3 linked regions of the Rhinolophus ferrumequinum genome follow. The protein of the gene in region 2 interacts with the protein of the main gene of each other region in a pairwise test. Links are inferred from orthologs where the notes say so. Each region holds a gene or a part of one and is shown on either strand. Other genes may lie near its edges.

Evidence for each region.
Region 1: the proteins of EXOC2 (region 2) and RALB interact in a two-hybrid assay, tested with the Homo sapiens proteins (2 studies listed by BioGRID). The link is inferred for Rhinolophus ferrumequinum from reciprocal best matches to the Homo sapiens genes EXOC2 and RALB.
Region 3: the proteins of EXOC2 (region 2) and EXOC1 interact in binary tests that used the Homo sapiens proteins (3 or more experiments, as listed by UniProt). The link is inferred for Rhinolophus ferrumequinum from reciprocal best matches to the Homo sapiens genes EXOC2 and EXOC1.

What each region holds. Positions count from the first base shown.
Region 1 is NC_046291.1:91,168,916-91,179,055, forward strand, and holds the start of RALB (ras-related protein Ral-B), read left to right. Parts: upstream 1-6,435; 5' UTR 6,436-6,582; intron 6,583-10,140. UniProt on the Homo sapiens protein: Multifunctional GTPase involved in a variety of cellular processes including gene expression, cell migration, cell proliferation, oncogenic transformation and membrane trafficking.
Region 2 is NC_046292.1:93,601,402-93,611,127, forward strand, and holds the start of EXOC2 (exocyst complex component 2), read left to right. Parts: upstream 1-5,398; 5' UTR 5,399-5,667; intron 5,668-5,869; exon of another isoform or gene 5,870-6,021; intron 6,022-9,726. UniProt on the Homo sapiens protein: Component of the exocyst complex involved in the docking of exocytic vesicles with fusion sites on the plasma membrane.
Region 3 is NC_046288.1:17,843,945-17,854,382, reverse strand, and holds the start of EXOC1 (exocyst complex component 1), read right to left. Parts: upstream 3,724-10,438; 5' UTR 3,421-3,723; intron 1-3,420.

The sequences.
Region 1 (10,140 bases), on a different chromosome or scaffold from region 2:
CGACCTGAGGCCCTGCGTCCGGCTCTGCTCAACGCCCTGAGGCCCTGCGTCCGGCTCTGCTCAACGACCTGAGGCCCTGCGTCCGGCTCTGCTCAACGACCTGAGGCCCTGCGTCCGGCTCTGCTCAACTCCCTGAGGCCCTGCGTCCGGCTCTGCTCAATGACCTGAGGCCCTGCCTGCGTCCGGCTCTGCTCAACGACCTGAGGCCCTGCGTCCGGCTCTGCTCAACTCCCTGAGGCCCTGCGTCCGGCTCTGCTCAACTCCCTGAGGCCCTGCGTCTGGCTCTGCTCAACTCCCTGAGGCCCTGCGTCCGGCTCTGCTCAACGACCTGAGGCCCTGCCTGCGTCCGGCTCTGCTCAACTCCCTGAGGCCCTGCGTCCGGCTCTGCTCAACTACCTGAGGCCCTGCGTCCGGCTCTGCTCAACGACCTGAGGCCCTGCGTCCGGCTCTGCTCAACGACCTGAGGCCCTGCATCCGGCTCTGCTCAACTCCCTGAGGCCCTGCGTCCGGCTCTGCTCAACTCCCTGAGGCCCTGCGTCCGGCTCTGCTCAACGACCTGAGGCCCTGCCTGCGTCCGGCTCTGCTCAACTCCCTGAGGCCCTGCGTCCGGCTCTGCTCAACGACCTGAGGCCCTGCGTCCGGCTCTGCTCAACTACCTGAGGCCCTGCGTCCGGCTCTGCTCAACTCCCTGAGGCCCTGCGTCCGGCTCTGCTCAACGACCTGAGGCCCTGCGTCCTGCTCTGCTCAACTCCCTGAGGCCCTGCGTCCGGCTCTGCTCAACTCCCTGAGGCCCTGCGTCTGGCTCTGCTCAACTACCTGGACAGGAAATTGTTTCCTGTGGTTTACGACCCTGTGTGCCAAGGATGGATGTGTCACCTGCACAAGCTGTGGAAGGAGGTCTCATGCGCACCCCCTCCCCCATGCAGGACTGTGACCCTAGCCATCCCATTCTTCTGGAGCTTTCCCAGTGGGGGCCTGGCCTCCGTGGGGACCTGCAGAGAATGCAACTTTCCTATCCCTGGGGCTACATTAACCTCATTGCTGCTATTTTTGTTCCTGTTTGCCAAATTTCCTCTTGGCCATTGTAAAGAATTAAAACTCTACAGAAAAACGTATTCCAGGAAGGGGAATTGTTCCTGACACCCACCCCAGAGAACTGCATCTTAATATTTTGCTGGACTTGCTTCAGGAAGAGGAACTCTGGGTTGGGGTGTGACTGCAGATAAGTGTTGCTTTCTTTTCAAAGCAAGGGTGTCCCTGCTCAGGGGCTCCTTATTCCCCATGGGCCACCCCATATTCCTCAGACCCTCAACCCTTTGGCCTGGCCCTGCTCTTGGGAGTAGACGCAAGGGAAGAGATGAAGCTGTCCATTAAAAAAGAAAACATTTTAAAAAGTGTTGCTAATAAAAAAAAATCACTGGGGAAGGGTTTGACCTTTGTGGGTGGTGGGGGCAGTGACAGAGGCTGCATGGGGGTTGGCTGGGGGCCAGCCTCAGGCCCAGGAGGGCACTGCCCCTCCCCAGCTGCTGGGGCAGCGATGGGTAAGAGGGGCTTGGGCTTGGGGAGGGGGAGAGAGGGGACAGAGAAGGGCTGAAATGCAGCCCCGCCCCCCACCCTGGAGAGCTGGAACCAGCCTTAAGCACTGGAGGTGGAGGTGAGTAAAGGGCTTGGAGAGCACTGGACCCCCACAGAGGTCACAGGAATGATCTAGCTGCACACGGCCAAGGTCCAGGGTGAGCCAGGCCTGAGTCTGACCTCGGGCTCTCCTTCCTTGTCCTCTGTGACCTGTTGGCCCCTGAGGCCCAGGGTCCTCAGCTGTCAAGTGAGGAATAGCAGCTGAGGGACTGAGTGAGGGGTCATGAGAGCAAATGGCAAATGTCTAACTGAGCCAGACATGGAGGGATTCAGCCAACAGTTTCCTCATCCCTCTTTGTCTGTCTGTCTGCCCAGAACTGGCTGACTCCGTGGGTCATATGCATTTGCAGATAAGGGAACACCTAGATCTGGCGGGGTGTCATCAGCGTGCACTGGATGGGTGAGATGCAAACACAGTGAGAACCACCCTTCCCTGGGTGGGTCCCCAGGGAGCCCAGGAGTCACCACGGCGGAAGCAGCTGGCACGAAGACCTTAGGAAGAGACCGGGAACACATTAGCTGGGACAGGGAGGGGCTCCCGGGGTCTTTTCATTCTGTCAGATAGGCCTGGCTTCGTGGGAGACTGGATAATATTTCATGTTGGAGAGATCTCAGCACACAGAATCCAGATGCTCAAATCTTGTTTTATCTCACGATCAGTGCTTTGCAGCTGTCACCCTGCGGGGGCTTTTATCTGGTTACCTGGAGGTCAGATCCTGGGCAGCTGTTTACGGTGCTCTTTGGAAGCAAGGCACACGTGTCTCCACGCAGATGGAAGAAAGGGGCGAACGTGTGCCGGCAGGTAGTGGGGATTAGCGGTAATGATGAAGACTTTTTATTACTCAATGACAAGACGACTTGACTTCATTTCTGGGAGATAATTCTTTGTAAACTACGATGGCAGAAAGATAACGCCAGCGAATTCATAATTTAAAATAGAATCATTTTTTTTCTAATGTGTTTCCCAAGCAGATTAATTTCTTTTGGAAGATGAAAACTCCTCCTCTAGCTAATTACTTGGGTCTCTGCCTCTCCAGCAGAGCAATTCCCAGGAACATCTGGTTAGTTCCTACAGGCTGGCTGGGGCATTAGAAACATAGAAAGACGGTAATGAGGGAATAGAAGCTCTCAACACCTTTTCCGAAGGAGGGATAAATCAGTCCGTCCCAGCAGTGCGAATGCAAGCTCTCGGTTCCTTCCTCTAAGCACTTCCCTTGGTCTAGGACTTTTGGTTTTGATCACCTGGATGATAAAAACAGGCAGGAAGGAGTGGGCATCCATTGAGCTGTCATTAGTCACTTATTCCTGCGTCTGAGCCCCACTACTGAGAATAGGATGAGATGGCAGGAAGTGGGGAGAGAGCATTTGGACACTGAGGGCTGGAGAAGCACAGAATAGACAGATAGGCATAGTACTGAAGATGAACTCCATCCAGTGTTGCTGTTTACAGTAGATCCTTTCCGTAACCTTCGGGAGGCAAGAATGGCTTTCTTTTTCCCTCTACAAATTGGCAGCCCCCTTTATTTTCTAACTGAGGTGGTCACCAACTATTGAATGCCGACAGGGATGCTGAGGCTTGTCAGACTCTTTCTAACAATGCCACCTATTTATATAATACTGCCAGCTAATGGGAGCATGTCTCTAATGCTGGCTGCTGGCTGATGTTCTAGGAAATTGGTCAGCTGTCCTCTATGCACCCTTCCCCATTCCTGCCTGGCTTCTGAGTCCCCACCTCTCTGGGATCAAAGCACCTGGGGGGGGTGCCCAAATTCCAGCCTTGCCTCTGCACCCCTCACTCTGCAATCTCCCTATGCCTGATTACCCTTCTAGTCCTGTGGACCCCACTTTGCTTGGACTCCCTGGAATAGCTTCCTAATCTCCATTTCCACATCTACCCCTTATAGGCCATTCGCCACACCAGAGTGGTCTTTAAACAGCCAGAGTGGTCTGGCTTTTTAAAACCTAGGTTTTTTAAAACCTAACTCAAAGCATGTCACTATCCTGGCTCAAATGCCCCTAGTCGCTTCACACTTGGAATAAATGCCAGTCTCCTTATCATAACCTAGAAGTCCCCGCCCACATAATCTGGCTCTCACTTCTCTCCCCACCCTTGGGTGGCTTCACTTTCGTAATGACTGGGCATTTCATCCAGACCTCCTGTCTACTCTCAAGAGTACCTAACTTTTTTCTGTCTTAGGAGTTGGCACATGCTTATTACTCCGCTGGAAATATTCTCCTCTCCCTCCCTTCACTGCCAACTTTTTCCAGGATTGGTTTATTTTCATCCTTCAAGTCCTAACTTAAATGTCACCTCCTAAGAGAGGCCTTTTTGGCCACCCAGTCTCAGGTAATTTGCAATGACACAATTTGTAAGTATCGAGTTGCTTGTCTGTTTCCTGGTTCCTTATCTGTGCTTGTCTGAGTTGTTCACCACTGTGTCCCCAGCTTGGTACACTGCAGGGCCTTGTATCAGTCAGAGAAGGCTAAGCTATGTGGCAGTAACAAACAACTTCCAAATCTTAGTACCTTCAAACCACAAAGGCTTCTCAATCATGCCAAATGTCCATCACAGGATGGTGGGGGCAGGGAGGGGTTGCTTATTGTAGGGTCCCAGGCTGATGGAGCAGCCACACCCCCAAACATTCCCAGTGGCCATACCAGAGCTTTGGAGGGCCTTGCAATGGTAAATAAAGTCTCCAGTCCAAAACTGATGTATGTCACTGCCACTCACAAGTCATTGGTTAGATCCAGTCACATAACCTCACAGGGAGCTAGGAGGTTCAATCCTACTCAGCGCCCAGGACCCTGATCCTGCTCCGTTAACTGCTTGTGTCACTTGGGGGGGCTGCTGCAGGCAGCTCTCCTGTCTAAACTTGCATTTATAAGACGGTACCAGCACAGCAGGTCCTTTCTGCCAGGCTGCACACAGCATTGGTTGCACTGATACTGTCACACACCTGTAGATAAAATGGGCCTTGGAAGGAAACGCAGCTTCTAGTTTGGATTAACAAGCTTGAGCGTACATCTTGGTTTCTGGTGGCAATCACAATATAAGCTAACATTTGTTGAGCACTCACAAAGTTCCTAGCACTGCACTGAGAGCTTTACATGTAATCTCATTTAAATCTTCACACCTGGGTGGTCAGTTGCTCAGTGGTTAGAGCACATGCTCATAACAGCAAGGTCGCCAGTTCGGTTCCCACATGGGCCAGTGAGGCTCGACCCCCGCCCCCAACACACACACAACGACTTGACATGGAGCTGATGGGTCCTGGAAAAACACTGTTCCCAATATTCCCCATTAAAAAAAAATCTTCAGACCTACAGTGTGGAGGTGCCACTATTGGGGGGGAGGGGGTGACTGAGGTCTGCAGAGGTTAAGCAATTTCTTAATTAAGATAATTGCTATTTATATGATAGAGCCCTCCTTTGAACCCATGCTTCCTGATTCCAAACCTGTGCACTTAATCCTTAGTCTTGGGTCTGAATTCTCTTCTAGGTTATAAATACCAGAGAGCTTCCTTTTTGAGAAACCTCCTCCTACTTCTCTCCCTTATATTATTAGTAACTAGCAGAATTTCTGTCCTATAATTAGTGTGCAATAAAAGTCTTTAATGTATATGAAAAGGGTAAAAACAGAACACTTAAGATTGTAGACTAAGACTAGCATATCCTGGTTACATGTTTTTTTTGTTAAGCCTGTTAAGACTAAGTTAAATCTGTGCTTTTTGATAAAGCTGTTGGTGGAAGCCCTGGATCTGTTAGTTGCTTATACATAGCAATCTAATCAAGGCACAAAGCCTCTCATATAATACACATGTATCCTAATGTGTACTTATCAACAACGAAAGAATTAATTACATGGTGCTAGCTGCTGTGAGTATCAAATTGAACAAGCACTACTTTCCTTCCCCAGAAATTATAGAGGTGGATATTTAAACAAGGAATTGTAATACACTGTGTCCCGCTGTGAGGTTTGCGGAGGGGTCAGATGGGCCAAAATCCTGAGAAGGCGGAGGGGGGTGGGAGGATTCAGCTCTAGGAAGGGGAGGTTAGTTAGGAAAATCAACCCGAGGTCAAACCCTATATGGACAGAAAATGAAAAGTTTCCGTGCCTTGGAGGCCGATGGCCGGCGGGGGGCAGGTTGTGAGAGAAAAACCTGTCGGGCATGAGCTTGCCCACTGCACTTCCTGCCTCAAGGCTACCGCTGGGGTTAGAATTCTTGACCTTGTAATCTGGGTCCAGTTATTGCTAGAATTGATCAAGTAACTCCACTGCTGCTAATGAGACGTCATTAGCCAAGCGAGTAGTGGCGGCAGGCGGAGGTCGCGCCACAGGAGACCCTGGCCGGCGTCCCACGGGCCACCTGAACCCTTGGACACCCGCGCGCCGCATCGTCATTTTCCTTGCTTTTCTGTCTCAGGTCAGTCCTTCCCTTTTACTTTCCACTACTTTGGTCTCGCCCTCATCTAAATTCACGACGGACGCGCCCTCCGCCGCCCACGCCCAGGGACCCCAGACCTGGCTCCTCCACTACAGCAGTGGTCACGTGCAACTCGTCCGGCGGTGGAAAGTAGGCACTGGAGGGGGGCGGTGTAGGCGTGCCGAGCCCGCCCCTCCCGCCTGAGGTGGCTTATCATTGGTTAAGCCTTCTCCCCAGCCTCCTGAGGCTTGGAAATTCTGCTTCGGATTGGGTAATAGGCTCTCAGTGGGCGTGGCCACCCAGGACAGGCACGGAAGCGAGGGCGCGCTCTCGAGAGGTGGGGTTGCCTAGGCGACGCCGGGGGCGCGCTCGGGGGTGGGGAAGCTAGCCCAGACTACTCGATGACAAATCGCCTGGGGACTGCTGGGGTCCGGCCCCTGGAGGAGGCAAAGGAGAGGGCGGGGCGGGTTTAAGATCGGCGGGCCGGCTGCGGACGGCCGAGGCTGCGCCGGACGGAGCCCAGGTAAGAATGTCCGCGCGCGGGCAGGAGCCCTCGGAGCGGGGTGGGGCGCGGGCTGGGGAAGTGGGGTGCGTCGCCCTGAGCTTGGTGTCCGTCTGACCCCGCGCTCTCCGCTCTGGGCTGTGGCCGGCGGTCGAATACCTCGCGCCGCGAGGCCGGCGGAGGGCGACGCTGGAGCAGCGGCCCCGGGAGGTACCCGGGAGAAAGCCTCCGGGCCTCCCAGACCGGTCTGGAGCTGAGGAACTGGGGGCGGCGCCCCAGCCTCTCCCTTTTCGCCGCTCCTTCCCTTTTCCCACAAATGGCCTCTGCTTCCACTTCCTGTTCACTTCCTCAGCCCCTTAGTTGGCGCTCTGGGCAGGATAAAAGCTAAAGTGTTGCAAAAACTTATTAGTACCTTAAAAACTTGGACTGAACAGGGGACGTGTTCCAAAAGTTGCTGAGTTGCTGGGTCTGTTTTTGGTTCTGTCTTGCACATGAGCATAAAGTTGTTTCTTTGCGACCCCTCCCCCCAATTTCCTTATGATACATACTAGCACTGAACGTGGCTTCTAATAGGAATCACCATGGACTTGAACTGTTTGCCTGGACCAGGGTTCAGCACCTCTCTTCTTGCCCTTTTATAGGTATATAAATAAGGTTATCCACGGTTGTTTCAGAACTGCTAGTGGCAGAGGTAGCAGCAGCGCCCAGACTACTTGTTTAAAAGTGTCCCTCTCTTTGCTAATTTTTGGGTGAATACTGGAAACGTAACTTTGATGTTGTTATCGTTGAGTTTCTGGGGAGAAGGTCTTGTGTTGTTGCTGATTTAGAATTGCCAATGGAAGAGGCTTGGCTGATTGTTCATTTGAGCCATCTGTGACTTGATTTGAACCCTTGTAGAACAGTGAACTTCCTGCTTTGTCCTAGTTTCCTAACCTCATTTCTTTTTGTTAAGTTTTGGAGATGGATAGTGGGCACTGATTATCAGAGAGGACAGCATACCTTTCAGGTGCATAAATGACCCATGTTCTAAGCAGAGCAGTAAGGTTCTTGGATGTTAAAGCTCGAAACAAGGTCATGTCTCTTAGACCTGGAACCAATAGAATATCGAAGTTCCAGAAATGGGACGGCTGTGGAAGGTAGCATTGAATATTGGGAAGAACAGGAGGGCAGGGTGTGAAGACCTAGGTTTGATGCTGGTTCTGAAACTTGATTATCTTGAGTATGACTTTTCACCTCTCTGTGCTGCAGAATCCACAGCTGTAAAAAGGTGATATTTATCCTACTTGTGGGCTTAAAGGAGCCAGGAATGTTTAAGGCGTTCTTTGTGGTAGTGGGGGTGGGATGGAGGTGGGGGTGGGATGGAGATAGGGGTGGGAATGAGGCCAGGGGTACACATCCCCTCTGTGGTTTTAGTCGAGTCAGTGAGTCGACTTTCCTCTGGCCACATTTGGGTCTTTCCTTCTGTGGGGACAAAGCTCTGGAGAGCAGTTTCCAGGCTCTCGGCCTTACATGGAGGGGTGCTGGCTCGGGTAGTAGATGACCGTCGGCTGTGGCTAGTTGACCGTCAGCTGTAGCCGGTTGGGGTTAGCCAGTTGGCCACCGATATAACTGCCGCTGCTTTGGGGAGGGGGAGTCGGTCGGTTGGCAGAAAAGCGGACAGCAGGTCGCACGTGTGAATCCAGCCTCCGGTGAAACCATAGTGGTATGACTCCCCTACCTATGGCTCCGTGGGGGTTCCTTTTTGGCCTAGCCACATCCTGCGTTCTTATGTGGGGAGTGGGAGCAGAGACCCCGCAGGCCGCCCCGTAGGCCGCCCCGCATGACACCTTCCTTTTCTGTTCACACTATTTCTCATTGGAAAAGTAGGTACTCTTGTCTGAGATCTCAGCAAGATTTTCCTATGCCTGAGGAGTAGAACCTTTCCCAGGATTTTGTCTGGAAGAAGTGGGGGTATAGTTATTAGATATCTTTTGGGAATGTGGGACCTAAACACTCAAAGACAGGAAAACACGAATTAGAGCCTTAAATGGGATCTAAATGGATCTTGGTAGAAGGTGGAAGAAGTAGAAAAGTTCTAAATACTTGCCTTCATTCTTTAAGGTTCTTGCCTTGGCTGAAGATGGCTTGAGACTGGAAATTTTTAAACCAGAGTTGAGATAATCCTTTGTGCCACATCACTCAATCCCACAATACCTCTTTGAATTCAGTTACTAAATTCTTATCCAGTCGTAGAATTTGGAAACATTGTTGGAAACCTTTTTTGAAAGCTCAATTTGGAGATAATATAATAACCTAGAACTGCAGTGTTGGAAGAGATCTTGGTGAACTCTAAGGTTTCCAATGTAACTTCTCTCAAGATGATGTACAAGAGTCCTGCTTTTCATTGGCTCCAAGTACTTCTAAACAAACAGCCTCTGCTCTTAGATATGCAAGACACTTGGATTTATTTTTTAAAGTGAGTTCATGTGGTTGAGAAGTCTGACTCAAAGAGAGCGAAGTACCACAGAAAATGGAACTCACCTGGAGTGGGGGTGGGCTGGGTAAGGAAGAGGAGGGAAACGAATGTTACTGAGCATCAGCGATCTGCTTGGCACAGACTCACAGATCTAACTAATACCGGATAAGTATCTGGTCTTGGAGATAATATTTGACCTTTAGGTCCTCAGTTCTTTTGGTACCTAGGAATACAAGAGTGGATATATCTATATCTATATCTATCATCTATATCTACCTATATCTATATCTATATCGTTTATCTATATCATCTGTATCTATATCTATATCTATATCATCTTCTTAGATATTCCAAAAGTAGAGGGACCAGTGGGCAAGATGTGAGAGTGGAAAGAAAGATGAAGAGAGTGTGGAAGCTGAGTGTCAATACCAGACATTATGGTATGTGGTTACCACAGCAATTCCAAAATGCTGAGAGAGAGAGAGAGAGAGAAAGGAAGAGGACAATCAACGTGGAAACTGTGGTATCTTGGTATCTCATCTTGGAAGTGACATACCATCACTTTTACCAGCTCATAGACCAAACAACGTGGGAGGGGACTGACGACAAGAGGAGAGCTTGAGGACCATTGGCATTCTTACAGGCCAACTACCACAATTTCTTTTTTAAAGTTTAGACCCAACATTATTGAGAAAAATCTTTGTTTCATCAACTTACTAAAGTATGTACTGTAGGAGATCAAAATGCAACTGGAGTTTTTACTATTCTAGAAACTTTTAATATTATGCTTGAAACTTCATGTTCTTTCTTCTGGTTCTTTATTGTCAGATGCTATAATTAATTAGCCAAATATGCTGTAGCTTTGGAAATTAGAAATTTAAATCTTGCTGGTCCCTACACCAAATGGAACAGCTGAGTTGTTTTTTTTTTTAATCCTAAAACAAATTGGTAACAATTATTGCCAAAATGATCTCCTTGATGAACAGCTTAAAATTAGTCATTAATCTGTGTATTTTAAAAAATAAAACTCACTGGCAAAGTAGCTGAAAAATCCTAGATCCTGCTGCCCGCCCCTAGTTATTTTAAATCTTTGGACAATATTTATTTGTCTTGCTATTTCTTCA
Region 2 (9,726 bases):
CAATGAAAGGACTCAGATGAAAACTATGTCGTATGAGAACAGGAAATGAGATATGACGGCAGGCAGATAAATTGTATGCAAACCATTTCTAAAACTCCTGGAAGTGGGAAGCCTTCATAAAGGAGCGTCCACCAGACTAAAATCCTATACAAAAGCCGAAAGGCCAGCAACAACACGTCTCTCAGCCCAAGTGAAACTGTAACTGGCGCTTCTGCTGCAAATGGGGTGACATTCCTTGAGAGCAGACATAACATGGCACGACAGCCAGTCTGCTGTCCCAAGCCCCAGTCTATAGGGGAACTTTCACATCAGTGGAATAAACTTGGAATATGGTTCCTTTTTCTATGATTGCAGACACTGATGATAAAATGCAAATTGGCCTTGTTCCTACTGAAGTATATTAGACCTTCAAGTGGAACATTTTAAAAGAAAAAACAAAACAAACACCCCCCCGAAAAAAAAACCCGAACAAAAAAATTTCAACCACCATTGCCTAGCAATTTAAAATAAATTAAAATGCCATCTTACATTCAGTTATATCTCCTTCATTTAGAAGGTAAAGAGGTCTAAATTCTTATTCTGAGGAAACCATGGAATTAGGTTGTCCCTTCCCTGTCTGCAGCAGCAGGGCAGGCCTGGAAGGGAAGGGAGATCCCCTGGTGGCCACGGTGAGTCATTTTCATGTTCTGACCAAATTCCCTCTCTCCAGGTTCCATCTCTCATATCTCTCTAACAGAGAGTGACTTTCCTCAATTTCTCTGTTCTCTTCCAGACCACCTACTGACACGACCCACCACCAGGGACATCCCGATATAAACACAAGTGGTAAACACAGCTGCATCATGGTGCTGGGTGGCAGTGATAGCCATATGGTCGGAGTAACTGTTGAAACACCATATTCCTATATAGACCCAACTTTATAGTTTTTCTTAAATAAAATATGCAAATAGCAAGTAAGTAGAAAACCACAGAGCTCTGCTTCGCTGTAAAATCAATTGGAGACATTTGACTACACTCTGAGGACTTTGCATACACAGAGCTTTGAAGCTGACATGGATGCTGAAGTCCACGTAAAGGCATTTGCTACGATCACACAATAGCAAGTTTAAGGTAAAAACAACATGATGCACAAGGCTTCCCTAACCAGTAGGCCGAATCCAAGAACTACTAAAACAGAGCTGTAATTGTTACAAACTTGGAGGATTTTAAATTGTCCTTGTGATCTTAAACCTACAAGACTCCAGTGAAGGATGACAAAATTGGGCGGTATTCGGTGAAACACCTCAGTCCTTCCTGCATTGTCGAGATTTACATATCAGATTTTGCTCACATTTTTGTGCCCGCAAGTGATCATTAGGCATATGTTCACTTAAGGGCACAAAATGTAAATGTAATATAATGTAACTACATCACTGGAAACACAGATCCCCCACAACTCTGCCACTATCATAATGTATTAGTCATTATTTTTTTAGTTTTGCATTCAACACTTATTTGTTGAGCATCTACCATGTATGAGACATGGGTGAACAATACAAAGTTCCCTTTCCTCAAGAAGCGCATATCCTAGTGGGAGCAGACCAAAAAAAAGTGAAGAAATAGATAATATATTTACAGGTTGTGGTTAGTGCTATTACTGGGTGGCTGATGTATTAAATACCTGCTATATAAGGCTCTACAATGATGAATAAGACAGGAAGCTGCCAGCAAGGGACTTATAATCTGAGTTAACAGAAGACCAAACAATTGTCAGTCTTTGGTAAAAAAGATTGCTAAGGTATGGCAAATTATAGTTGTTTTGAGGATTAGAGTCTATACAAATTATGGTCCATCACAAACTGATATGCCATGCACTATGAAACACTTAGGTGTTCATTTAATGTTAAAAAAAAAAATCTAAAGAACAGGAAACTGTGCCTGTCATAGTATTTCTTAAGACTAAAACCAAAGGAATTTAATGCGTCAAAGTTATTTTTTCTAGGTCAAACTAAATCTCATGCAGAATTGAAAACACAAAGCTATAATGATATTTAATTGCCTCAAAAGCTACTGCTGCAATTTTATGTGTAATTATTTTATTTGCTGCTAGTTTCTGCATATACTGTGCCAACATTTGCTAGCTGGCTTTAGAATACAGACCAGAAGTTTAAGAAAAGAAAGAAAACACCACCAGTAATTTTCATATTTGCGAAAGATTCTTTCCTCTTTTGAGTGTTGTTGTTTCAGTAATACAGTAGTTTTCTTCTCCTTCTCCTTCTTCTCCTTCTTTTTTTATTAAGGAAAGATCTGTGAGTCCTCAAGTGCCATTCATACCAGCTTATGGCAGGATCACCTAACTTGAGAAATGGCCTGTCACTGAGACCTTAAGGGGAGACAAGAAAAGGGTTTAGTTTCACTGTGAAGTGGGGTACTACTGCCAGGGATACAGAAAACTTAATTTCCTTTCAACCTCTGTTGCCAGGTCTCTGACTCATGTTTCCTGTGTGTTTTAAAATGGATGATCCTGGGACAGTTGAGAAATTGCGTGCTTGAGCAACATTTTGACTTGTCTTCCGATGTAAAGGACAAAAAAATAAAGTCATGCTAAGTCCCAGGACTCAAGGGGGCTGTACGAAGTATCAACTTCTTTTTCTTGGGCTGTATTTCTCTGATAGGTGTGCAAATTCAGCACATAAAAGATATTTGAGTAATAATAAGTATAGTTTGTTTTCAGTCTGTGATAATGACTATCTTGGCTGCATTCCTGCAGAAGCCATCCCTGAGACATGGTTTCAAGAGCTAGTATTTAACTTGGGAGGTGATACCAGGAAACACCAGGAGGAGAGTGGGGAAGCCAGGTGGGGAAAGGAAAGGAAGCCAATAAAAAATGTGCTATGAAGCCATTCCTGAAGATGCTGGAGCTGTGTCAAGGGCAGCTCTGGAATACATTGAATAACACGCATCTGAGCTACTCCAGGAGGGAGGCAGACTGGCTGGCTGAAGCCTGTATGTGGTCCCATGAACTGCCTAGTGCTTCCAGCTTGTCCTGGTTCCAGGAAGAAAGCCCAGAGGCACAAGTGGGCAGGCTTTCCCAGAAAGCAGAGGGTACAGCAGAGAAATATGGGTTAAGGTTGATGGCCTCTGCCACTGTCCATCCCTTGCATGCCATGTTGTGTTCAGTCTGTCCTGTCACTGACTTTTCACGCTGATGTCCAGTCATCCCCACATCAGGGGTATTGATAAGCAGAGCTATGGGTCCTGCCACTGTAGGTTCTGAGGTCATGATGATTTCCATTATTTCCTCCCTGATCACCCATTCTAGATTCCCTCACCCTCAAATAGCACTTTTGCTGGCCTGGGCTGCTTGATGAAGTGGCCCACAGCTTTGTCCCTGCGTCCCTCATCCCAGACATGGGTCTAGGCCCTGGTTGCCATGCCCCTGTCAGGCCAGGGTTGCTGCATTGCCCATTAACTGATATCACCAGGCATGAAAAAGATGTCCAGTGCATGTCCTGAGTTCCAGAAATAATTTTCCCTGCCCCTATTTCCTCCTGATAATAAGGGTCAGTTTTTTGTTGACTGAGGAACACAAATAAAGAGAGGCTTTAGATTTAGGTGAACTTTGTGTCCCCTGGCTCCTCCAGCAGAGCGTCCTCCCCTGCTGGAGGAGCCAGGACTCTATGAGGGACACAGCACCATACGATGGTGTTAGATTGAAAATACGTAGTACATACCATAGCACAGCATCCTAACCTGCAAAATGCCCTCCTCAAGCTGGAGCCTCAGTTGTGCCTTCAGAGGCCCTTCTAATGTTCTATCAGGATGGCAGCTTCTGGGTGTGTGATGTGTGGCACAATCAGTGATCTTGTGGGATAGTCCCCTTTGTCGGACCTCTCTCACTCTTTAGAGGTCCCTGATCCTAGGTGATATCCTGGGCAATTCCACGATGATAGATCAGACACTATGTGAGCAATTCAACAGTGATGCTTGCCAGGCCGTGCAGGTAGGGAAGATAAACCCAAACCCAGGATAAGTATCTGGGTCTGAGAAAACCAACTTGCCACCAAATGGCTGCCTGGTCTCTTCGAGGGAAGCACAATGCACATTGGCCCACTGTAGCTGAAGGGGGTGGTCGCACTGTCTAGATCACCTTGTTGGCAGGAGTACGTGTAGCTCCATCCCTGCCACCATGGCTTCCCCATTCATAGGCCCATTCTAAAACACTGAGGTGATCCAGGACAGAGGCTGGTCAAATCATCCTGGGTACAGGGGCTCCCTGCTGCAGATGCTCTCTGGTGGGCATTCATGTGACACATACAGATTGGCCAAACACAAAATTTCTGTGAGGTGCACATGTCAATTCTTGGGGTAAGCTGGCAAGGCCCCACCATGCTCTGCCTCTGCCCATGGCTACGCTCCTCTCCATTCAGCTGTAACCAGCCACGCCAACAGGTCTCCTACCTTTGGGAACTTCTAGACCGGAAGCAGACGGGATACTCTGGGTCCCATATAGTCCAAATGGCAGGCCAGCTCTCCCAAGAACTTTGCCCCCATGCTCAGCTCCACTACGATGGCAGCAAGCACAGCTCCCAGTATGCTTCAGGTCAGCCAGTACCAACCAGTCTCACAGATACTTGGGTGAATCCCTTCCACGCCTTGAAGGAGTATCTGAGCCCAATAGTTTGGGCCTCTCTTTATAATGTGGAGTGACTTTAGGGTGACCATACATCATCCAAACAGGGACACTTTTGACAGTAAAAGGGGCACTCTTTATTATTAAGCCAGGATACCAGAAAAGACTCAGTTATGTCACTGGGGTCACCCTAGTTAACTGCCGCCTTTTCCAGTTTAAGTGGCCAGTTCCAGGACAACTAGAAAAATCCCTCTGAAAACCCCATCACGTGAGCTTAAACTCCATTGTCCTCCATTATGCCATTTCTTTGCATAGACTCTCAACTCCTTTGCTCCCTGCTCCTTATGCCTTGTAAAACTCCAACCTTCGTTACACTAATTTTCAACTACCTACCTACACCAGAACAGCCAAAAATGGACAAGCATGATGACTGGCTCCATTTTAAACTTAGGACAGCATATCCCAAGAAGGCCTTCAGTCCTGCCTGGAAATCTTACCGCGTTTTCTTAGTAATATGCTTCACAAAATCCAATACTAAGATTTCACTCTTTCTCCTCAAACCTCCGTTGTCCCTCATCCTTCCTATTCCCGGATGACCTTGCTGCTTCTTTTGCTAACAAAATAGAAGCAACCAGAAGAGTATTTTCTCATCTTCGTCACCACCTTTTCCCATCCCCGCCATGGCCACGGTAATTTCTTGCAGACTGCTGCAGTCGCTGTGACATTTCTTTTCCTCTTGCCCCGGTACGGTTTACCCCCCGCCCCGCGAGATCCTGGAAGGAAGTGACTGCCGTTGGGTGTATCCAGCGCACCCGCACAGCGCCTAGGCCATAGAGGTGCTCACTGAGTTTGTTGAATTTAAACAATCAACCCGCAGGGTTTCCAGGCTGTAGCCTGGCATTCTCCTCCGTAACTTGCATGGCCCTGTGGCTTTTGTGTGTCACTTAGCCTCTCCGGGCCTCGGGGGGAGTCACGGCGTCCTGAGCCAGCGCAGAGCCCACCACAAACGCCCCGAGGGCCCTCCTCCGCTTCCTGGAAGGTATCTGAGGGCAAGGGTAAGAACAGCGCACCGCGCACCCAGCGACGTGCATCCTGCCCCCCTTCCCCCCCCCCACGCCGCCCGCCGCCCGCCGCCCGCCGCCCGCCGCCCGCCGCCCGCCGCCCGCCGCCCGCCGCCCGCCGCCCGCCGCCCGCCGCCCGCCGCCCGCCGCCCGCCGCCCGCCGCGCTCTCCTCCCCAGAGGGCGGCTCATCGAAAACTCGGCGCTCTACTACTCGGCGGATCGACGCCGTCGGCGCTCCCAGCGGGCGGAAGTGGCGGGCCGCGGCGGTGGGGCTGCGACCCGAGAGCTGCTCCGAGAGCGGCCGGAGCCCTATCGGAGCGGGCTGAGGGGCGGCAGGCCGGCTGCAGGTATGTGGTCCTGGAGGTCCCGGCGGGGGGCCCGCCCGGGGAGGCGCGGCCGGGCAGGGGGCGAGCCTCGCTCCTGGAGAGGCGGGCGGGAGTGGCGGTCCGCCGGCGCCCGTGGTCAGCCCCTCGTCCGGCTCTCCAGTCCCTGACCGTGAGGGGGAGGGAGCCGCGCCGTCGCGTCCGCGGTCCGCGCCCCTCGCGGGACCCGGGCCTCCGGGACGTTGGCCCTCGTTCGCCTCACCTGCTGCCTTGCGCGCCTGCGTCGTTGTCGCGGAGTTAGGTTTCAGAATTTGTTCGCAGAGCGAATGTGAGGCACGTTTTGCTTAGGTTTGCATCAGTTTAGAGCAATACCGAGCATCTTCTAGGTGTCAATCACTGTTGTAAGCATTTAACATTTACTGACTGGTTTAATCCCATTAGCGGTAGGTGCTGTTGCAGTATACCCATTTTCCAGAAGGGGGAACAAGCTCAGACTGGGGTCTGAGCTTGGTTAGGTAACTAGCCTGCAGTATAGTTAGTTACTCAGTGCCTGCACCCCCAAACCACTGTGCTGTCTCCAAGGTAAGCTCTCTCTTGCTTACCTTGGTATCGCAAGATTTAGTAAATAGACACTTTTTTAACTCCAATAAACAGTTCTTGAAAGAGCTTGTCTTAAAATGGAAATAAGCTATTTTTAATTGCTAAAGGTTAATCATACTAATGAGTATGAAAATAACATTTTCATTGTTTTTATGAATCCGAGTAAACCTACAAGGAAAACTTTAAAAAATACTTTAAAAATCAGCCACACCTTAATTAAATCGTTTGGGTGCACTATATTGAAATGCTAGTGCTCACTGAGGTGAACGTGGATCTGTGTCCTAATGAGTAAACAATACTTTATGTTATCATAGTCTGGCCAGGCTCTGTGTAAATGACTCTAATGGCAAAGGAACTGAAACCCAAAAGCTTCCCAGGGATTACCTGTATGTTAAAAGTTGACTCAAAGGGTGGCAATAGAAAGAGGATGATATGTGTTTAGTACTTAAATGTTCTATTTAAGTAGAAACTTACTAATTTTAAGCAGAGAAGCAGGATCCTCCAGTGTAACTTGGAACAACTATTGGAAGTTTCAGAAAATAATTTTTTTCTTTGTCAAGTATTTCCTGTACTGAATATCACTTTGAACTATTAATATCACCTCTCAAAAAGATGATTATTAACCTGCTAAGTTAAATTTTCATTCCATAGACATTTGAGAACCTGTTGTATATGAATCTTACGGGAAATGAAATTGGTACTCAAAAAATTTTGCAAAGGCAGCCTTCTAGTAAAGGACCGTGAACAGTTTCTAGTGTCATCCAGTAGCAGAATTAGGCCATATAGGAAATGCTAGTTACACAATTAATCTCTCAGTTACTCATGCTTTTTCGCCCATTCACCAGCTTACTTCTCATCTATCCTGGATTCCTGGTACAGCATCTAGCACATAGAGGAGCTTAAATATTTATTGAATGGATGAGTTATAGGCCAGTGTTGAGTAGAGAGGATTTTGCAATTGACTGGAAAGGGAAATAACATTGATGACTCTGCTAAGCAGTATGCTAGAAGTGTTGCTTGTTCTCAGACCCTGGGGAATGTGCCCATGGATCCCCTGGAGTGCCTGGTGAAATCCAGTGGTAGTAGTGTTCAGTTATAATCACGTGATTCAGTATATGTTTATGTTAATTTAAAAGAATTATTGATAAAACCACATAAAATTAAAGTAATTGTAGAGAACGGATGAATCTTGAAGCTGTGGACATACTCATATGGCATCCTTGGATTTCAGTTTGAAAATTAGTCAAAAGGTATTTTGGCTTAGTAGTCGAAACAACCATTTACTAGTCCATGCACTACCACCCACCTGCTTTGTAGCCTGAGCTGAGTTACTTAGCCTGTTGGGCTTCAGTTTTCTTTTCCCTGTAGTCAGAGAATATACAAAACTAGATTATTTCTAAGAGTTCTTCCTGCTTTGGAAATTTCCAACTCAGTGAATCCTATAACCACTTAGCACTTGTCTTATCCTTGTCGTAGGGGCTGTAACTATGACTGGTATTTACATGTCTGTCAAAAGACTAAGCTCTTGTTGGACAGGGTTTAGTCTCGGTCATTTTTGTATCTCCCAATTTTAGCATACAGCCTGACACACACATTAGAAATAAAACAATGTTAGCCTACATTCAGAAGGGGCATTTTTGCCCTCTCAAAGAATGGCTAAGAACTAAACTATAGTACTGAGTTTAAGTACAGCAGGAATTCAGAGAAGGGAAGCGTGTATTGGGGTGGAGTAATTGGGAGGCTTCATTGAAGTCAGCCTGTGATGCTGCCCTTCAGAGGGAAGGCAGGTGAACATCTGGGCAGCACACCAGGAACAAAGGCTCGCTGGCTGGTAAATGAGAGCATTTTGGATTATGGGGTGCCTTGAAGGTCAGGCACGGGAATTTGAAACCGATTTATTAGCCCTCCCTTTTTTTCCTGGAAAATTGTATTAGGTTTGCTAAAAATCTTCACGAACATTCTTTAACTTTTTGCTGGGGTGGGCCATACAGGTTGCTTTATTTATGGTTTTGGTTTCAGTAATTCCTCCTACTTCCTATTTCCCACTTACAATAACTCTTGGTTACAAACCGAGAGCCAAGAATGGAAAGAACAGTGGACATCAGGACTTAGGAAAACTGGGCTTTACTTCATCAGAAGGTAAACTGTCCCAAGGTAGAACCAGGCAGGCCCCTGGAATCTTACCTGGCACTGACTTAGCCTTGGTCATCACTATGCAACCCTGCATGCTTCTGCCTCTCTTGCTTGCTAGCTTTGCTGTGTTGGCAGGTTTGGCCCTTAGTTTCATCTGTAAGCTTTGATGAATTTTTTAAAGGCCTTTTCCACTTACAAAGTTCTGTGATTTTGGAGGGTATATGATTTTAACTTTTATTATATTATAGTTTTACTGAAAGGCACAACAAGGCAAAAAGCCAGGAATATTTGCTTTTAGTTTAATTTTAATGAAAGCCCCATGTGATTGACATGATGTGTATCTGGATAAATTGGGGTCTCAGCAGGAATCAGAATTCATGCCAGATGGTTCAAATAAAGAGATTTTAATAAAGGGACTACTTGCAGAGGTGTGGGCAGCATGAGGGAACAAACAAGGGATAGTGAAGCCCAAAGAGAAACTAACAACAACTGGAAGGGACAAAAGAAGAAGGCAGACCCTGCTGAGAGCTGTAGCCCCAGACTGCACTATGGCTATTGGCTGAGATGGGTACTTGGTGGTGGGGGAGCAGGACTGACATGCCTCAGTCTGAAACTGGTCCCCTTCTGAAACCCAGAACTCAGACCTTCCACTCTGTGCTTACAGTCTTTGGTCTTTCTAAGCCTCACTCAGTTACCTCAGTTACTCCTCATCTTTGGTCACCCTTTCATACCAGCATGCTCAGTTGTACCATCATCTTTCTGTAGCCTTTTGCGTGCAGATTCTCAGCCCTGGACCATCTCAGTTCTTTACCTTCTTTAATGTCTGAACTGAGTTGGTGACACCAGCTGGGGAAAATCCTAGCATCTAGTTGTATACCCCTGTAAATTCATGGTCACCAATTTCCACTGGTCATCAAAGAATTTCCTAGAGTTTTCCTTGTCAGCACTTGATTCTTTGCAGATTCTATTTGAAGTATTTTCTACTCTTCTCAAACC
Region 3 (10,438 bases), on a different chromosome or scaffold from region 2:
TACATGCTACAACACTGATGAATCCTGAAAACATTATACTAAGTGAAAGAAGCCAGTTATTAGGTTGGTGCAAAAGTAATTGCGGTTTTTGTAATTATTTGTAACCTTTTAAACCGCAATTACTTTTGCACCAACCTAATACAAACGACCACATATTTTATGATTCTATTTACATAAAATGTCCAGAGTAGACAAATCCATAGAGACAGAAAGATCTGTGGTTGCCAGAGGCTGGGGGCAAAGAGGAATGAAGAGAGACTGCTAATGGGCGTGGGGTTTCTTTTTTGGGTGATGAAAATGTCCTGGAATTAGATAGTAGTGATGGTTGTATGACCTTGTGAATATACTGAAAAACACTGAATTATATACTTGAAAAGGGTGAATTTTATGATATATGAATTATGTTTCAAAAAAGCTGTTATAAAAAATAGGTTTCTACTTCTTTTTCTCATATAATTCAATGTTTTTTAAAATGCCAACTTCAGTTAAATATTTTTTAAAATCCCTTTTCAATTTTATTTTTTGAATATATATATAGAATATATAGATTGATATATATATAGAATATATATATTCAATTGTAGGCAAACAAGGAGCTTACTTGTATATATAGAATATATATATATCAATCTATATATATACATAATCTGTGTGTGTGCACGCGCACGCGTGTGGGTGTATTACTATTTTCCGAAGGAAATGTAGTATTTCATGTGTGAGCTCGCTTAGGAAATTCTACTTCTAACACCATATCTATGGGAAAATAAATTATGAGTTTTAAATAAATGACTTACAATGAATTTTTATAACAAAATGACACTTGCAAACTAGGTATCTCCTCTATTTTTCTCAATCTGTGAAAAGTTGATCTCTGTTCCAACTCAAAAAATTTTCGCACAAAAATCAGATCTTCCCTGTTTCACCGCATCTCAGCCTCTAGTCCTCTGACCTCCCTCTCCTTCCTATTCTCTTTGCCCATCTGGCCTCCAGCTTAATTTCTTTTCCAACCTAGCCTGGAAGCAGTGTTCATTTCTCTACACCCACATTTTTATTATTACTCCTTCAATTATTTTGCTCTGTTTGTAGACCAGTTCTCCCTGTTACAAATTTCCACTCTCCACTTCTCTTGGGCTAACGAATGCTGTTTAAGAAGGCCATATGTCCTTCTTCACTGCATTCATTACAAATGTCTAAGACCAGTCAAAGCTAAACTTTCAGTGTTGCTCAGCAATCCTTGAACATTTCCTTCAATGATTCCTCTTCCTACTCCCCATCAATGTTGTTGCAAATGCTTATTCTTTCAACCCCCAACTCCAGTGTCTACCTCCTACCTCTCTGCAAATGAACTTCACCATTTACTCTGCAGAGAATACAGAAGCCATGAAGTAGAATTTTCCCCAATTGCTTTCCTCTCCCTCTCTACATCTTCACTCCATTCTGCCTATTACAAAATATCCCTGTTATTAATTCTTTAGTATGTTCTACGACCTACACACTATGTTAAAAGCTCTACTCCATTCTATGCCCAAGCTACACAAGATACTGGTCAGTTTCCTATCTCTGAGTTTTGTTCATGCAATTTCCTTTTCTTGGAATTCTTAACTCCCTGGGAAATTCCAACTCATCCCTCAAAAGTCCTGCTAAAATGTTATCTCTTCTGTGAAGCCGTCACACACACAAAAACAATAATTCCCTTACTACTGCTCTAACATTTCCTCTCTACTTTGCTAACATACCACTTTTAAGTGATATATTCTAGTTAGTTGTATGAAAAGTAGCTCCTTGTAGGCAAACAAGGAGCTTACTTATCTTTGTATTATTACTTATCTTTGTATTATTAGAACTTGGCAAAGTTCTAATTTGGCAAAGATGTAGCAGGCATTTAATAAATTAACCAAAATGATAGTACCAAATAACATGATAACTGCTGCTTCTCTAAGATTCCCCCTTTCCCACTCTCACATCTGTAAGCAAATGTCCAGGTTCAAAATCTGTCATATTTGATTCTCCTCCTCCATTGACAACATGAAATTTGCTACCACATTCTGTTGATTTCGCCTCATCTACACATAAGTTGTCCTTCCATTCTGTTCCCACTGCCAACACACTAACCCAGGTTCACATCAACTATATTTAACACTACAGTATCTGATTATCTCTTTGCAAGCTTCCACAACTCCAAGTCCCTCCACAAACAAGTAATATTAAAACAGCTTTCATCACAACATGCTCAGTGTTTCACTCAAGTTCCCAAATACAAACCTCCCACTCCAAACCCTCTCATTCATTCTGGTATTTAAGTCTTTGCTTAGGTGCTTTTCCATATCCAAACCCAAATTACACTTCATGGTTTATATGAAGTTGATTCAATAAAGATCTTCATCCAAATTGATCTCTCCTCTCAATTGCTATAACACTTACTGTATTAACTAATCAATCAAGCACTTGCTGTCTAATTGCTTCATGAAATCCTAAGTTTGTGGATCTCGAGAACTTTCTTGAAAGAGAGAGACAGAGAGAGAGAAATCCAGGAGGAGAGAGAGACACTCGGGCATAGTTTTATGTTCTTTCTTAGTAGGTACCTAACAAATACCTCTTGAGGTAACCTCAATTGAATAGTAAAAACTGGTCAAATGAATGATTGTTAGTGGTCAACATTTACCACACAATCCCTCCTTGGTTAAAAGTACAACTGATTGTATAGTAAGTGGGGAAAAGGGAGGCCTGGGAATCCCTCATAAAGGAGTTAGGCATAATGAGAGCCACTACAGGACCCCCATTCATTCAGTGAATACTGATGTCTACTAAGTGGGAGGCACTGCTCTAAGTTACAGCGGTGAATATGACAGACATGTTCATGAAGACCCCCCACCGCACTTACATTTTAAGGGTGCAGTGATTAACTCTACAGGCTTTAGAGTACTTTTCTCTTAAGTCAATGAACACGTCACTAGAGATCCTCTAAACCTATCTTCCAGATTTAAGAATCCATGTCTGACCACATTCCAGAGGCAGGCACACACGGCTTCCTCTGTGTCGGTTCCTGTTTCCTTACATTCAGTCGGACCTTACATTGCATGACAAGTAGCTGGTCCATGTGAGTACCTATGTGGATTGGGCCCCGTATGCTCTCAAGACGTCTCAACGCGTGGAGCCCTGTCATCCAGAAGAGAAAACTGTGCACGGACACAGGGAAATGTACGCCAGACATTTAGCAGGAAATGTGGATTTGGACAAAGGAGAAGGCACTGTCACGCCCTCCTCTCCCGGTCCACGCCGAAGAGCAAATGATCAGGGCCGTTTTGCCCAAAGAAAACATGGTTGCTATGGGCGGATCCATAAAGAGGTACGTGAGGATTGTTCTCCCAAGCCCCAGGACAGCAAAGAGCTGAGGTGCTACGAGCGGGCTTTGCGCCTTACCCAGACAGGCGGGGAAAGGAAGGGACGGCTGATAACGGAGGGAGGTAGACCCCGGGAGAAGAGCCACTAGGGGAACTGAGGAGCCTCCTCAGACCATGGCGCCCGCCAGTCCGCTCGTCTGTCCGCCGCCGCCGGCACTACTGGCAGCCGCGGCCCAAGGCTTACCGCAAGGCGCGACCCAGCCAGGCTGGGCCGAGGCGGCTGTTCCAAGACAGAGACCAGATGCGGCGGGGCGGCCACCGATACTAAGATGTGCCCCTCAATGGAGCGGTGAACCGGAAGCAACCGTTCCACCACTACTTCCCATATCCGGCCATGTGACAAACCTCCGCGCCGGAAGTCTATCCGGTGGAATGGTGATAGGCGTGGGGAGGCGGGGCAAGGTCTCGCTGGAGGGCGTGTCAAGGACAGGCAGGGGCGGGGCCTCTCGCTTGGAGACTGACCTGGGACCTGGAGATTTATTTCATTTCATTTTTTTTTTAAAGTTCTTTGGGGTGACAATTATTAGTAAAATTACAAAGATTTCAGGTGTACAATTCTGTTTTACATCATCTATAAATCCCATTGTGTGTTCACCACCCAGAGTCAGTTCTCCTTCCATCACCATATATTTGATCCCCTTTACCCTCATCTCCCGCCCCCCCTTCCCCCTTTCCCTCTGGTAACCACTAAACTATGGTCTGTGTCTATGAGTTTTTTCTTCTCATTTGATTGTCTTGTTCTTTTGTTGTTTTTGGTTCATATACCATATATCAGTGAAATCATATGGTTCTCTGCTTTTTCTGTCTGACTTATTTCGCTTAGCATTATATTCTCAAGATCCATCCATGTTGTCACAAATGGTCCTATTTCACCTTTTTTTACAGCCAAATAGTATTCCAGTGTATATATATACCACAACTTCTTTATCCATTCATCTATCGAAGGACATTTTGGTTGTTTCCATGTCTTGGCCACCGTAAACAAAGCTGCAATGAACATTGGAGCACAAGTGTCTTTATGGATAAATGTTTTCAGATTTTTTGGATAGATACCCAGGAGAGGGATTGCTGGGTCATATGATAATTCTATTCGTAATTTTTTGAGGAACCTCCACACTACCTTCCATAATGGCTGCACCAGTCTGCATTCCCACCAAGAGTGTATGAGGGTTCCTTTTTCTCCACAGCCTCTCCAACACTTGTTACTATTTGTCTTGTTGATGGTAGTCACTCTGACTGGGGTGAGGTGATATCTCATTGTGGTTTTTATTTGCATTTCTCTGATGATTAGTGTTGTTGAGCATTTTTTCATATGTCTATTTGCCATTTGTATGTCCTCTTTGGAGAAATGTCTCTTCAGGTCCTCTGCCCAATTTTCAATTGGGTTGTTTGTTTGTTTTTTGTTGAGTTGCATGAGTTCCTTGTATATTTTGGATATTAGCCCCTTATCGGAGGCACTGTTTGCAAAAATCTTCTCCCATTCAGTTGGTTGCCTCTTTATTTTGTCGATGGTTTATTTTGCTGTGCAGAAGCTTTTAAGTTTCATATAGTCCCATTCGTTTATTTTAGCTTTTACTTCCCTTGCATTTGGAGTCAAATTCATAAAATGCTCTTTGAACCCAAAGTCCATAAGTTTAGTACCTATGTTTTCTTCTATGCAGTTTATTGTGTCAGGTCTTATGCTTAAGTCTTTGATCCATTTTGAATTAATTTTGGTACATGGTGACAGTTTCATTCTTTTGCACGTGGCTATCCAATTCTGCCTGCACCATTTATTGAAGAGTCTGTCTTTTCTCCATTGTATGTTTTTTGCTTCTTTGTCAAAAATTATCTGTCCATATTTATGTGGTTTTATTTCTGGGTTCTCAATTCTATTCCATTGGTCTATGTGTCTGTTTTTCTGCCAATACCATGCTGTTTTGATTATTGTAGCCCTGTAGTACAAGCTAAAGTCAGGGAGTGTGATACCTCCAGTATTATTCTTTTTTCTTAAGATTGCTTTGGCTATTCGGGGTCTTTTGTGGTTCCAAACAAATCTGATGATTTTTTGTTCTACTTCTTTACAAAATACCATTGGGATTTTGATGGAGATTGCATTAAATCTGTATATTGCTTTGGGTAATATGGCTATTTTAACTATGTTGATTCTTCCAATCCATGAGCACGGAATATCTTTCCATTTCTTTGTGTCTTCTTCAATGTCTTTTAAAAATGTCTTGTAGTTTTCAGCATATAGGTCTTTCACATCCTTTGTTAAGTTTCTTCCTAGGTATTTTATTCTTTTTGCTGCAATTGCAAAAGGAATTGTTTTTTGTATTTCTTTTTCTGAGATTTCATTGTTAGTATATAGGAATACAATGGAGTTTGTACGTTGATTTTGTAGCTGGCAACTTTACTGTATTCGTTGATTGTTTCTACTAGCTTTTTGGTGGAGTCTTTAGGGTTTTCTATATATAGCATCATGTCATCTGCAAAGAGTGACAATTTAACTTTTTCATTCCCAATTTGGATGCCTTTTATTTCTTTCTCTTGCCTGATTGCTCTGGCAAGGACCTCTAACACTATGTTGAAAAGCAGAGGTGATAGGGGACAGCCCTGTCGTGTTCCTGAACGTAGAGCAAAGAATTTCAGTTTTTCACTGTTAATTATGAGATTAGCTGAGAGGGCTTGTCATATATGGCCTTTATTATGTTAAGGTATTTTCCTTCTATATCTACCTTATTAAGTGTTTTAATCATAAATGGATGTTGTATCTTGTCAAATGCTTTTTCTGCATCAATTAATACAATCATATGATTTTTGTACTTTATTTTGTTTATGTGATGTATCACATTGATGGATTTTGGTATGTTGAACCATCCTTGTGCCCCTGGGATGAACCCCAATTGGTCGTGATGAATAATCTTTTTAATGTATTGCTGCATTCGATTTGCTAGAGTTTTGTTTAGGATGTTTGCATCTGTATTCAGCAGAGATATTGGTCTGTAGTTTTCTTTTTTTGTGTTATCCTTACCAGGTTTTAGTATCAGGGTAATGTTGGTCTCATAAAATGAGTTAGGGACTACTTTCTCTTTCTCAGTTTTTTGGAAGAGTTTGAGCAGGATTGGTATTAGATCCTCTTTGAAGGTTTGGTAGAATTCTCTAGTGAAGGCATCTGGTCCTGGACTTTTGCTTTTGGGAAGGATTTGGATGACTGATTCAATTTCATTACTGGTGATCGGTCTATTTAGATTTTCCAATTCTTCATGGTTCAGCCTAGGAAGGCTGTATGTTTCTAAGAACTTGTCCATTTCTTCTAGGTTATTGAATTTGGTGGCATATAGTCCTTCATAGTATTCTTGGATTGGAATGATTTTTCATTAAATATCTGCATGGCTCATGACTGCATCCCTTTCAAGCCTTCACCCACGTGTTACCTCATTGAGGTCTTTCATGATAGCCCTATTTAAGGTAGTATTCTTTATCTTTCTTTTTTGCTTTGTTTTCTTCGTGCTTCTTATTACATCTTGACATACTATGACATTACATCCTGATGTATATGTTATTTGTTTGTTGGTTAGTATATTTGCTCTTTCCCTTTCTCTAGAATGGCTTTTGAGAGCAAGGACTTTTGTCTTTTTGTTCTTTGGTGTATTCCCTGTTCCTAGAACTCATACCAATGCTCTTATTATGTTCAGTGTACTATTCTAAGCACTTTATATTGACTAATTTAGTCCTCACAACAACCCCATAAGGCAGGAATCTTTATTATCCTCATTTTAAAGACTAATAAATGGAGGCATAGAATAATTAATTCTTTAGCCTAAGGACAAATAGGAGGCACACATAGTAGTATTTCAATGACTATGTCTTTATCTTACCACAGTCATCTGCACGTATAGACTTGGGAAGCAACTTAAAATAGTGGAAAGTACATGGCCACTGGGGCCATGAAGACCTGGGTTTAAATCTGGTCTTTATTGGTTCATTGACCACAGGGCAAGTTATTTACCTCTTCTGAGCCCCAGTTTCCTCATTTTTAAAATTAAAAATAATCCCCATCTTTTGGGACTCTCATGCAATTTGCTATTTCTTATAAAGCCCTTGGCACATCGCTTGGCACATAGCAAGCACTCAAATGGTAGCTATTATTACATGCCATTTAGTTTAGAAGAGTGAACTGGATAGATTTATGTCCTTAAAAAACATATAATAGTCACTCAGGCCCTGAGGTCCTGTTTCCCTTTCATAGACAGAAGGCTGTACATGTTAACATATATCATGTATGAGGCAATCTCATATTCGGATAGCATGAAATATTTTTTCCATTGTTAATAAGCTCCAAGGGAAAAGCTCTTCTAAATGGCCAAGAGTGGTGAATATTGATGATTTAACAATACTGGCAGGATTACTGAAGTTAATGTTTCCTTAGAGAAATGACTCAATACAGTATATCGATCAAGCAGAGGTGTGGAGTTTGTGGAAACTTGATGATCGCAGAGCACTCAGAGTAACCACACTCATTTGGTAACTTGAGGGAAAAAGGGAGTCCATTTTCCTTAGCTTGAAAGCCAGCAGGAAGGAAGAAGTGTCCTACTGTCTCCAGGGTTCTGCCTGATGAAGCACCAATGGACGGGTAGCGCACCTGGCTTTGTGTATTTGTTTAGTGAGAAAACCCCATAGATCTCACAGAAGTGGGCTTTCACACAACCTACTTTGACCGTGGTCAAAACTCTCCCTTAATTTAAGTCTGATTGGTTTCAATTTGAGTATGAGGTCAAGGGTCTTTATATGTTTGAAGAAATCATATGGGTTCATATAATTCTACTTTTTCTTTATTCCTAATTATGTGGACTTTTATTACATCAGTTAGTTTGTTTTTCTTTTTTAAAATTTTTTAAGCAGTGTTTTCTTGTAATTCAGTTATGCACATTCCTATCTAAGACATGAAAAATCTTTTCAGATGTTATCAGACTATTAGTATCAAAACAAAGAACATCAAGTTTTTTTTGTTGTTGTTTGTTTGTTTTTTAGAACAGTGAGAATCACAGTGACCCACTTTCCATATTCTTTCTCTATAAATTGCTGTAGCAGTGACAGCATGACAGAAGAGCTTCTACTGTTATGGGCATAAAGCAATTGGTGTTTGTTTTAGGTTTTATTAGAAACAAATGTAAATATCCCCACATAATACTTTTTATTTTTTTGCAACTTTATAGAAGGAAGCCAGAGAGTCACTAAATTAGAATGGTAATTATCTACATCACTCTTAAATAAATATTAAAAATAAATATTAACCGATAACAGATGCACATTAGAACAACACAATAAGTTGTACACGTACAAACGAAGGCAAAGGTTAAAGTTGGCTTGCAGAATCACATTGCATCTCAAACGTTTTTTTAATGCAGCTGCGTTATGCAATGTACATATTGTGGGGTCATTGTGTCGTACAAATAAAAGGCACAGTGCTAAGCTCCCTATCAACGTTTGGAGAGATTCTCTCATAAGTGCGGAGGTCATCTCTGACCTAATTCTGAATCTCTTCAGGGAACTGGCCACCATGAACAAAAGTAAACATATTTTGGCTTGAAGTAGAGGTTAATGATTCTCAGTGTGGCTTTGTTACTACTCTTGTGTCCAGCACTAGACACAGGATTTTTCTCTCCCCTTGCAGAATTCAGTAGCAATGCCACCAGCAGGCCTAGACCTGTACCCTAGAAGTGTAAGCAAATCAAGATAAATATAGGGGCACCTCCATTCGGGACCCCCTCCTGTTCGGGAGCTCTGACCCTTTGCTTTCAATAAGCTATCCTCTTAAAAACAAAAAAAGATAAATATAAATAACTACACAGACTTGACCATATTCATTTTTGCTGAAAATCAGATTTCATGTTGAATACTCTGCTTTAAACTTATATTTCTCCTTTATCCCAAAGAGTTATAATTTTTTTTTTAACCATTTGTATGGCTAAAATTCGGTGGGAAGATATATTTTCACAGATATTAAGTAACAGTGTTTAAACAACAGTCCGTATAAGTAACTTTCTGGTAAGCAGCACTTAAACTGTAGAAAGAGAAGGCTGTTGATGTTGTTATCGTTATTTAGTGACATGGAGTGTAGATGATTAATTTTTGCTGTTAATGTAGGTCGTTGAGGATGAAGGACTTCCTAGGAGAGGCATGAAATGAGTCACCATGACTGTTGTTCCCTTAGAAATGTAAACAAAACCTGGTACTTCTGTAATAAGCTCGTTATCTATTTTTCCACAGAATCTTCAATCTTTCAGGCAAAATATTCAGTCTTGGAAGGAAGCAAAAAAGAGATAGCTAGACCATGAATTAGGAAGCACAATTATTAGTAGAAATTCAGTAAAAGTGGTTTGCAGTAAATTGTTCAGCCTGGAACGGTTATATTAGAGCAATGTCCAAAAACTTGATATTAGAACTAGCCATCGATAAAAAATTAGAGTGCCTGGAATAAATTTCCATCAGCACGGCTGAAATAAAAGATGTGTTTCTGGAATCTACGGATGTCTATGAAATTGTCTTTGTTTTCTTAAAAGTGAAACGTAAATGGGGCTTGTCAATATCTGAACTGGTGGAGAATTACAAGTATTTTTACTTGGGTTAATATTCGTATCAGTATTAATTTTCAGGACAGCTTATGGTTTTTATTTGCCTAGTTATTTGTTTAAGTGTGGGGTAAAGTTTAAGAACTTGAAATTTGAAAGTACAATGGGTTATTCATTTTCTTAACGTTTTCAATGGTGATTTCTTTTTTCCCATTTTTTTTTTGTTGTAAAATACACCTAACATAAAATTTACCGTCTTCACTGTTTTTAAGGGTGCAGTTCAGTGGTATAAAGCACATTCATTTTGTTGTGCAACCATCACCACCATTCATCTCCGTAACTCTTTTCATTTTGCAAAACTGAAACTCTTTACCCATTAAACAATAACTCCCCATTTCCCCCTCCCCCAGCCCCTGGCAATCACTTTTATTCTTAGTAATGTTTTCTTTTAGTAGGATTTTTTTGGTAGAGCATTAGATGATT